Sus scrofa: one gene and its partner. The protein of the gene in region 2 purifies or fractionates together with the protein of the main gene of each other region. This does not show direct contact. Links are inferred from orthologs where the notes say so. Each region holds a gene or a part of one and is shown on either strand. Other genes may lie near its edges.

Region 1 (4,306 bases), on a different chromosome or scaffold from region 2:
TCCAAAGAATTTTAATCATGTCAAGTTATAAACAGTATAGGTAATATGTGCTGTTTCTTAAAATGTAAAGACAGCAGCTCTACCAGATAGAGTCTATACATTAAGAAAGAACAGACTGCGTGGCAGTTTTGATAAATATAGCACTCATATAATTTTCTTGGCTTTAAATTTTCTATAGGGTCTGAACAAAACATTTTAGCTAACATAAGGTGGGTCTGAATTCAAAGTACCCCGTGAAACAAGTAGATGATGGTTTTAGTGTTACCTCAAACAGGATCTGAATCAGGCTCAAGTCCTGGCTAATACCACTTTCCTTGGCCTTTAGCTACAGGTGTTTGAGCAAACTCTCCAAACTTGGTTTCACTATCTGTAAAAGCAGTAATGGTAATACCTATCTGTACCTAAGGAGGCTGTGTGGTATAGTGCAGAGAAGAGTAATAAGATGGACCCAGGCTGAAAGTCTACCACTAGTACTATTTATATGACTCTGAGTGATTTCTCATCTATAAGTTCTGAGTGATTCCTCATATGCAAATTTGGGATAATAATTTTTTTTTTCTTTTTTGGCCTCCCTGTGGCACATGATGTTGCCCAGCCAGGGATTAGATCTGATGCACAGTTGCAGGGATGGAACCTGTGTCCTAACACTGCAGAGACAACGATACCACAAGGACACCAATCCCGGTGCGGTGCACCACAGCAGAAACTCCAGGATAATAATATTTAATCCACTGATTGTTAAGCACTTAGAAAGGCAATGTATTTTAAAACACCTATGATAATGAATAGGAAACAGTGAAAACTCAATAATGTTATCCACATAAAATTAGACATTTAAAATAATTCAGAGACTAATTCACTATTTTTGTACTTAGCAAGGGTTGCCAAAGATTACTTATACTTAATAAGTGATATTTCTAACATGTCAGAAATGAATCTAGTCTAGTAGGTTATAAAGCACCTTGTAAACTTTTTTTTCTTTACACTTTTTGACCAGATAAAATGTTAACCAACAAAAAATTTGGTTTATGAAGAAACTTAATATTAAAGTAATAAAATAAGTGTAGATACTAATGAATTAAAAATTCAGAGCATGGTAAGGGAAAAACTCATTGGGATTACTTATTCTTCTGTATAAATGCCGTTGGGTTTTGTCGGTTAATAAAATATTTCTTAAAGGCAAAACACATTGTTCCTTTTAGAACTATTTAAAAGCAGGTAAGATAATGAGCTCGATAAACTCCTGTAATCACCTTGTTCTTTAACTTCAGGCTTAATGTAGTAATACTGAAATGACACCAATAAGAAATCACTACTCCATCCATCTCCTGAACAGAATCATGAAATCTGGGGTATGAATGACAATTTTAGATGTTTACTATCAGAACATATGTAAAAGCCAAGTGGCTGTTCATATTTAGATCAGCAGGAAAGTTTAATTTTAATGTCATTCACTAAAAAATACAAAGTATATTCAGTACAACTGTTTTCAAGAAGAGATTATAAACAAGTAGGCATCTGATTTTTTCAATTTTACACTAGAGGAAAAATTTATTTGGAAAGAATAGTTTCTTGAAGTAGTTTAACAGTTCTGTTTCTTTTTCTAACATGAGTCAGTTATGTGTAATACTTATCAATCTTAATGAGTGCACAAACATAGGAAAGGTTAAAACACAAAGTTCTACACATTCTTTGGTTGCAAAAACATATGAAAATAATTACATCATACCATACTATAAGTAAGGGGCTTTTTTTCTCCTTTATATTGATTCCCTTTTTAATCTACTCCCTGAGGAAGCTATATTTTAAACACAAGAGAAACATTATGCTGAACACCTCAGTCACCAGAGATTGTTCTCTACAACCAAGAAAATCAGATAATACTTGATTTATTATCTTTTCTGTGTTCAAAAATAAGTATACGGTAAAGTACTGGGGGGGGGGTTAAAAAGCATTAAATACAGAAACGGTAGGCAACCTATGTTTATCTTTTCTAAACAGTTTTCTTCCTTCAACTTTTCTGGAGGCCGCATGAGGAGAGAGGAAAAGAGTGGGTATCTGAAGGTGGGCTCTAGTTATTTTCACAAGTACACTGGGTAAGTCAGCTAGATGAAGGGGAAAGAGAAAAAAATTAAAGCGTTCGGGTTCACACTAAAAACACAACTCTTATAAAAAGAGGCCAGTGCAGAGAGTCATGCCCCCCTGACAATGCAGTGACCAATGCTATTCTGACCTATCATGAGCGCGCTACAATCCCAAATCTTAGCAAGTCAATCTGGCATCCCAAATTCGAAAGGGCCTGAAGAATCCCGGCGGAGCAAGGGTCTAGCTCAGCAGTGGCAGAAGTTAATTTTCTAGGAGAGTAAGACTACCCGGCAGTCCTCTACGGTGCTCTTCCCCCGCCGGGGAAGGGGGTGTTACTGTCCGCCTGGCCCCAAGCTCGGGGTCTGGCCCGCAGGCCCCGGGGCTGGGTGGGTGGGGGCCGCCAGCTTCTCCCCGTTGCCCGAGTCCCGACTCGAAGCTACGGGACCAGTTGCTGTAACCACTCGCGATTTCCCCCCCATAGGCTGGGGCCGCCTCTGGCTATGCCCCGGGCCTCCTGTAGGCAGGGATGACCCCCGCCCCACTCACCCGCACGGGTGGTGTCCGTCAGGTCGTGGTTGGCCGCTCCCCGGGGAAACTCCCTCAGTTTCCGGCCGCTCAGGCTCAGCACCCCGGTTACCGCCGCCTCCTCCAGCGCTCGGTCGAGGGAGCGGCTCCACGAGCCCGGGCCGGGACCAGGGCCTGTGCCGGAGTTTGGGCCGCAGTTAACAACGGAGAGGTTACCTCCCGACGTTCCCGGGCCAGAGTACTCTGTAGCCGTGGCCACAGCCACCAACCCTGCGGCCGCCATTTCCTAGCCGACAACTCTCTGGCCCGCCCGCGCAGCGCATGCGCGGCCAGATGATGGGTGGGCGGGGAAAGGGGCTTGCAGACCCCGGACGGGTCCCTTGATGGGCTGGGCTGCAGGGCCCCTCCGCTTACCCCGGCGCTAGCCCCCGCCCACTTGAGGTTTCCAAGCGAAATTAAAACGGAACTCACAAATTGGGAGCGGCGCCCTGCTCTAGTCCCAGTAACCTATCCGACAAGCCTCTATAAAAATACTTTTCAGACCACGCTCCTCACCAAAACTTCTCCACCGTCCTCCTTCAGTACTAGATTAAACATTAAGGCTCAATACCGTTGGTGCCAGAAATTTGGGTGGTGAGATGAGAAACATTTCCTGACTCCTGTCATTCTATAAGCCAAATGATCTCAATGGAGACTTGCAGATTTATTAACTATTATTGCCCGAGAGGAAAAGAAGTGTTAACCTGGCTCTCAAATGTCATAATTCTCACTGAAAGGGACGTATAGATATTTTAGGCCTTTCCTTTTACGAAATAGTTTAACGAAAATAAGCACCTTAAATAGTATCTGTCCCTTAGGCAAGATTGGTGAATAAAGCTGGGTGAGAGGTATTAAAGTTCAAATTTTTGGTCTGGAACCAAAATTGAGAAATATAAAATGATCTGGCCATAATCTACACGTAGGGCTTAGAGACAATTTTAAGAAATAGTCAAAAAAAAAAAGTTACTGAAAAAGTAGAAAATACTACATTTTAAACCAATTAGAGCTCATATATATTGCAACTAGTCCAGCATATTGCTGCTTTAACACACTTAAGCCATTCCTGCTAAATGATGTACATTTCCCCTACAATCAATGAACTTTTACCATGGGAAATAGACTGTCAGATACAGTCCTTTTCTTAGATTGTAATGTAATTAGAATCCGGACAAATAAACCAATTAGATTAAAACCACAAAAAAAGGGCCTAATAGGGGTGGTGGGGATTAACCACCAGAATTCAGTGAAATGCAGTCATAGATGAGGTTTTGAATCAAATCTCAAGGATTCTGATGTGAGGTATGCTGGAAGGTACATCAGCATCAACACATCCAGGTGTGATTTCTAATGGTACATGCGGAGAACATCACCACAGGCCATAAAGATCATGTCAAAGAGCAAAAGAAAATAAGGTTGGAGAGAGCCCGTCCATCATTCATGGTGCAACTCTTCAATGAAACCTTAATTAGTACTTGTCCAACTCCTAAATGCAAGGGATTGCAAAAAAGGTGGTTTTTTTTTTTTTTTTTTTTTTTTTTTTTTTTGTCTTTTTCTAAGGCCGCACCTGTGGCATATGGAGGTTCCCAGGCTAGGGATGTGATTGGAGCTGTAGCCACTGGCCTACACCAGAGCCACATCAACGCAGGATCTGAGCCAT
Region 2 (3,820 bases):
TGCAGCATGGCCGTGGCATATGTGGGCCTAGCCTGTCTGCTCTCAATTGCATTCTGAAGATACTGGATGCCTCCACAGCGTTCCCAAATTTCTTCGAACTGTCTTGGCAAAATCTCTGCACCACGCTTTCGAGTCAGGCCTGTCTCTTCAAGATTCAGCTCACACATCTCCATGTCATCCTTACCTGCAAACACGAGACATCAGAGAATTACCACACCTCCTTCCAGAACCATTTACTGTAAACTTTACTCCTGACATGTCTATCAATTTGCAGAGATTTGAGAACTTTTAAAACTTTATTTCAGAGATTATTACACTAAGTGAAGTCAGAAAAAGACAAATGCCATTATGATATCATTTACATGTGGAATCTAAAGTAAGGCACAAATGAACCTATTCATAAAACAGAAACAGACTCACAGAGAAGAGACTGGTGGTTACCAGGGGGGAGGGAGGAGGGAGTGGGATGGACGGGGAGTTTGTGGTTAGTAGATGCAAACTACTACATTTAGAATGGATAACAATGAGGGCCTACTATATAGCATAGGGAACTATGTCCAGTCTCTTGGGACAGAACATGATGGAAAAGAATATAAGACTATATATATAAAACTGAGCCACTCTGCTATACAGCAAAAACTGGCACATTGTAAATCAACTATACTTTAAAATATTTTTTAAAAAAACCTTTATTTCCTTCAAGATTGAAATCTGCTTAATAAATTGGCCAGAAATAAATCTGTCCTTGAGCAAGTACCCTTTCAAAATGTATTAAAAGTGCAGTTGATCAAACCAGTTACCAGGGTTACTAAAAAGGCTACATTTAACCATTAGAAAGCAAATGATACAATTAAACACCCAAGAAAAGGTTCTTAAGACACAGATAAGTTTCTATGTGTTCTACAAGGACATAATTAACCCAAGCAACCTCACACCACAAATAAGTGATCTTCAACAGAGATGACTTAACTGCAAAACTCCATGCCTGCTCCTGACCCTGAAGTTTAAGGAAAGATTACATCATGGTATATTACACTGTTTCACTCTGAGGGCACGTAGTCCTTTTATGCTTTATAATTATTTTTGATTGCATGTGAATCATACACACCAGCCACAAGGAGGATGGGTGGTTTGTCAGGATGAAGTTCCATTTGCCGGGCGATCCACGGTCCATCAAAATGGGCATACCACCAGCCTTTCTTCTTATTCTGAGGGTCTTTGTACTGGTCCGCAGGGCGGATGAACGGAATGCGGAAGAAACGCTGCTGCCGGTTCATTTCGATCTCCTGCTGCCTGGCAGGGAGCTGCACTGCTGGGTTCTGCTGAGCTGTCACAGGGAATAAGGACAGTCACACCAGGATAACGAAAGCAGCCTTTAATCCTAAAGTGCACCACTTGTTTTTAAAAAAGGAAGAAGAGGGGTTCCTAATAGTCAATTTCAAGCAAAATGTAAATATGAATTGCCTATAAATGAATATAATTCTAAGTGCGATTTCTTAGAAATTTCTTTCCCTGAAGATGTATCTTGGCACTGCAAACATACACATATATACATACACATACACACATATACACGCACATACACACATACACCCACACCAGCAGCAGCAGCAGCAGCAGCAGCAGCAGCAGCAGCAATAACAACTACCAGCTCCCAGCAGATTCCCACAAATGATTGTACCTATACTAAAATGATCTTACATGGCAGGAGAGCAAACTAGTGTTGTTTGCTCAACTTATAGTTTTCCTCCAAGGAGTTCAAGTGAAGGCTGCAGAATAACTTTTACAGGATGATTCATGATGGAACAACTAGACAGTAATTTCACAACTCTCCAGGATTATAGGCATTTGTCAACTGAATCACAATTTCCTCAAAAAGACCTAAAAGTTTTCTCCTTTGCCAACTGATTTTGGGGTTTAAAATGGCCCAGATAACACAAACATTTTACTAACATAACTTTATGACATCAAAACCCTAACAGTAAGCATGAACTTTCACTCAGAGATTCACTTACTCTGAAATCAGACTTCTGGAAAAAAAATCCACTGAAGATAAGTGGAAAGTGTATAATATTTGGTTCTCCTTGCTAACAGAAAAGAAAAATGCTTACTTTTCTGCTAATACTTTGGGTTCCTAGCAATCTTTTTTCCCTTGCTCAATTTTCATTACTAAACAATGAGAAGTTGTTTTTTTGTTGTTTTTTGTTTGTTTTTGAAAATAAACAGTTCTCTGGTACAATGACTATATTTTTAGGAGTGTCATTTTGGTAAATCTGTTTAATATGGGCTCTATGCTCACAACTTTAATCATTGACTGCATCTCAATTAAGAATCTCACTGAAAAGCTAAGTATGTCAATGAAAAATTATATAATATGCATAAGTCAAGGACAGTCACATGCCTTTTTAAGATTTTCCAAGTACTGAAAGGATGAAATTACTCCTTATTTTTTACACCAATAGTAAAAGGTTTACATTTACCAATAGCTGAATTTATTTCCATGCAAACAAGAGAGAGCAAAAAGCAGTTAGCAAAGATGTATATGCCTATGAAGGAAAGGAAAAGACCCAGATTTGTTAGTGACTTAAAAAGCCGTAACCTTTAGCACATTAACAGAGATGAGTTTATTTATTCTCTTGTTCCTGTTTCCTCAAAACAACTTACAGTTTAGTGTATCGATTTCAAGTTTTAAAAACTATCTACTCTTCAGAGAGTATACTAACTCAAAACTAAGACATTTTATAAAACAAACCCTTCCCTCTGTGTTAAGTAGTGAATTAGAGCTCAGTGTTCCTTGACCAGAAACACTGCAATACTAATGGCCACCAGTAAGACTAATCTACTTTTATTCTTTTAAAATAAAAATATTCAATTGGATTTTTTTTTTTTTTTTTTTTTTTTTTTTTTTTGCTTTTTAGGGCCGTACGTGCAGCATATGGAAGTTCCCAGGCTAGGCTTCTAATCGGAGCTATAGCTTCTGGCCTACACCACATCCACAGCAATGCAGGATCCAAGCTGTGCCTGAGAACCTACACCACAGCTCACGGCAATGCCAGATCCTTAAACCACTGAGCAAGGCTAGGGATCAAACACACATCCTTATAACCACTGGGCCATGAAAGGAACTCCTGAAACTAATTTCTAAACAATCATTTCTTTCAAATCCAATTGTGTTATTTTAAAAGTATGAATAAGTTTCAAGTGTAGCCCTGTAAATTAGTATAAGCACTTTGTTTTTTGCTATTTGGGGGCACACCCACAGCATTATGGAGGTTCCCAGGCTAGGAGTCGAATCAACCTACGCCACAGCTTATAGCAATGCTGGATCCTTAACCCACTGAGTGAGGTCGGAGATCAAACCCACGTCCTCATGGATCCTAGTCAGGTTCATTAACCACTGAGCAACAAAAGGAACTCCATTAGAAGCACTTAAAAAAAAAGCATGTTCAATGAGTTGGCAGATAAATATGGCATTATATTCAAATCATTACTGCTCAAATGACTTATAAGAAATCTACTGTACACAAAGATGACTCAAAGCTTTTAAACTATCAAAAAATAGGAGTACCCAATGTGGCTCAGTGGATTAAGAACCTAACACAGTGTCTATGCAGATGCAAGGTTAGATCCCTGGCCTCCCTCATTGGATTAAGGATCCGATATTGCTGCAATCTGTGGAGTAGGCCACAGATGTGGCTTGGAACCAGTGTTGTTGTGGCTATGGTGTAGGCTGGCAGCTGCAGCTCTGATTCCCCACCTGGCCCAGGAACTTCCATTTGCTGCAGGTACAGCCCTAAAAAGAAATAAACAAGTCAGAGGA

Evidence for each region.
Region 1: the proteins of MYO6 (region 2) and LRCH3 purify together in Homo sapiens (co-immunoprecipitation; 3 studies listed by BioGRID and IntAct, with this or other methods). This does not show direct contact. The link is inferred for Sus scrofa from reciprocal best matches to the Homo sapiens genes MYO6 and LRCH3.

Annotation. Positions count from the first base shown.
Region 1 is NC_010455.5:134,404,709-134,409,014, reverse strand, and holds the start of LRCH3 (leucine-rich repeat and calponin homology domain-containing protein 3), read right to left. Parts: upstream 2,937-4,306; 5' UTR 2,894-2,936; coding exon 2,632-2,893; intron 1-2,631. UniProt on the Homo sapiens protein: As part of the DISP complex, may regulate the association of septins with actin and thereby regulate the actin cytoskeleton.
Region 2 is NC_010443.5:89,994,496-89,998,315, forward strand, and holds part of MYO6 (unconventional myosin-VI), read right to left. Parts: intron 1,328-3,820; coding exon 1,109-1,327; intron 185-1,108; coding exon 1-184. UniProt on the Homo sapiens protein: Myosins are actin-based motor molecules with ATPase activity. Unconventional myosins serve in intracellular movements. Myosin 6 is a reverse-direction motor protein that moves towards the minus-end of actin filaments.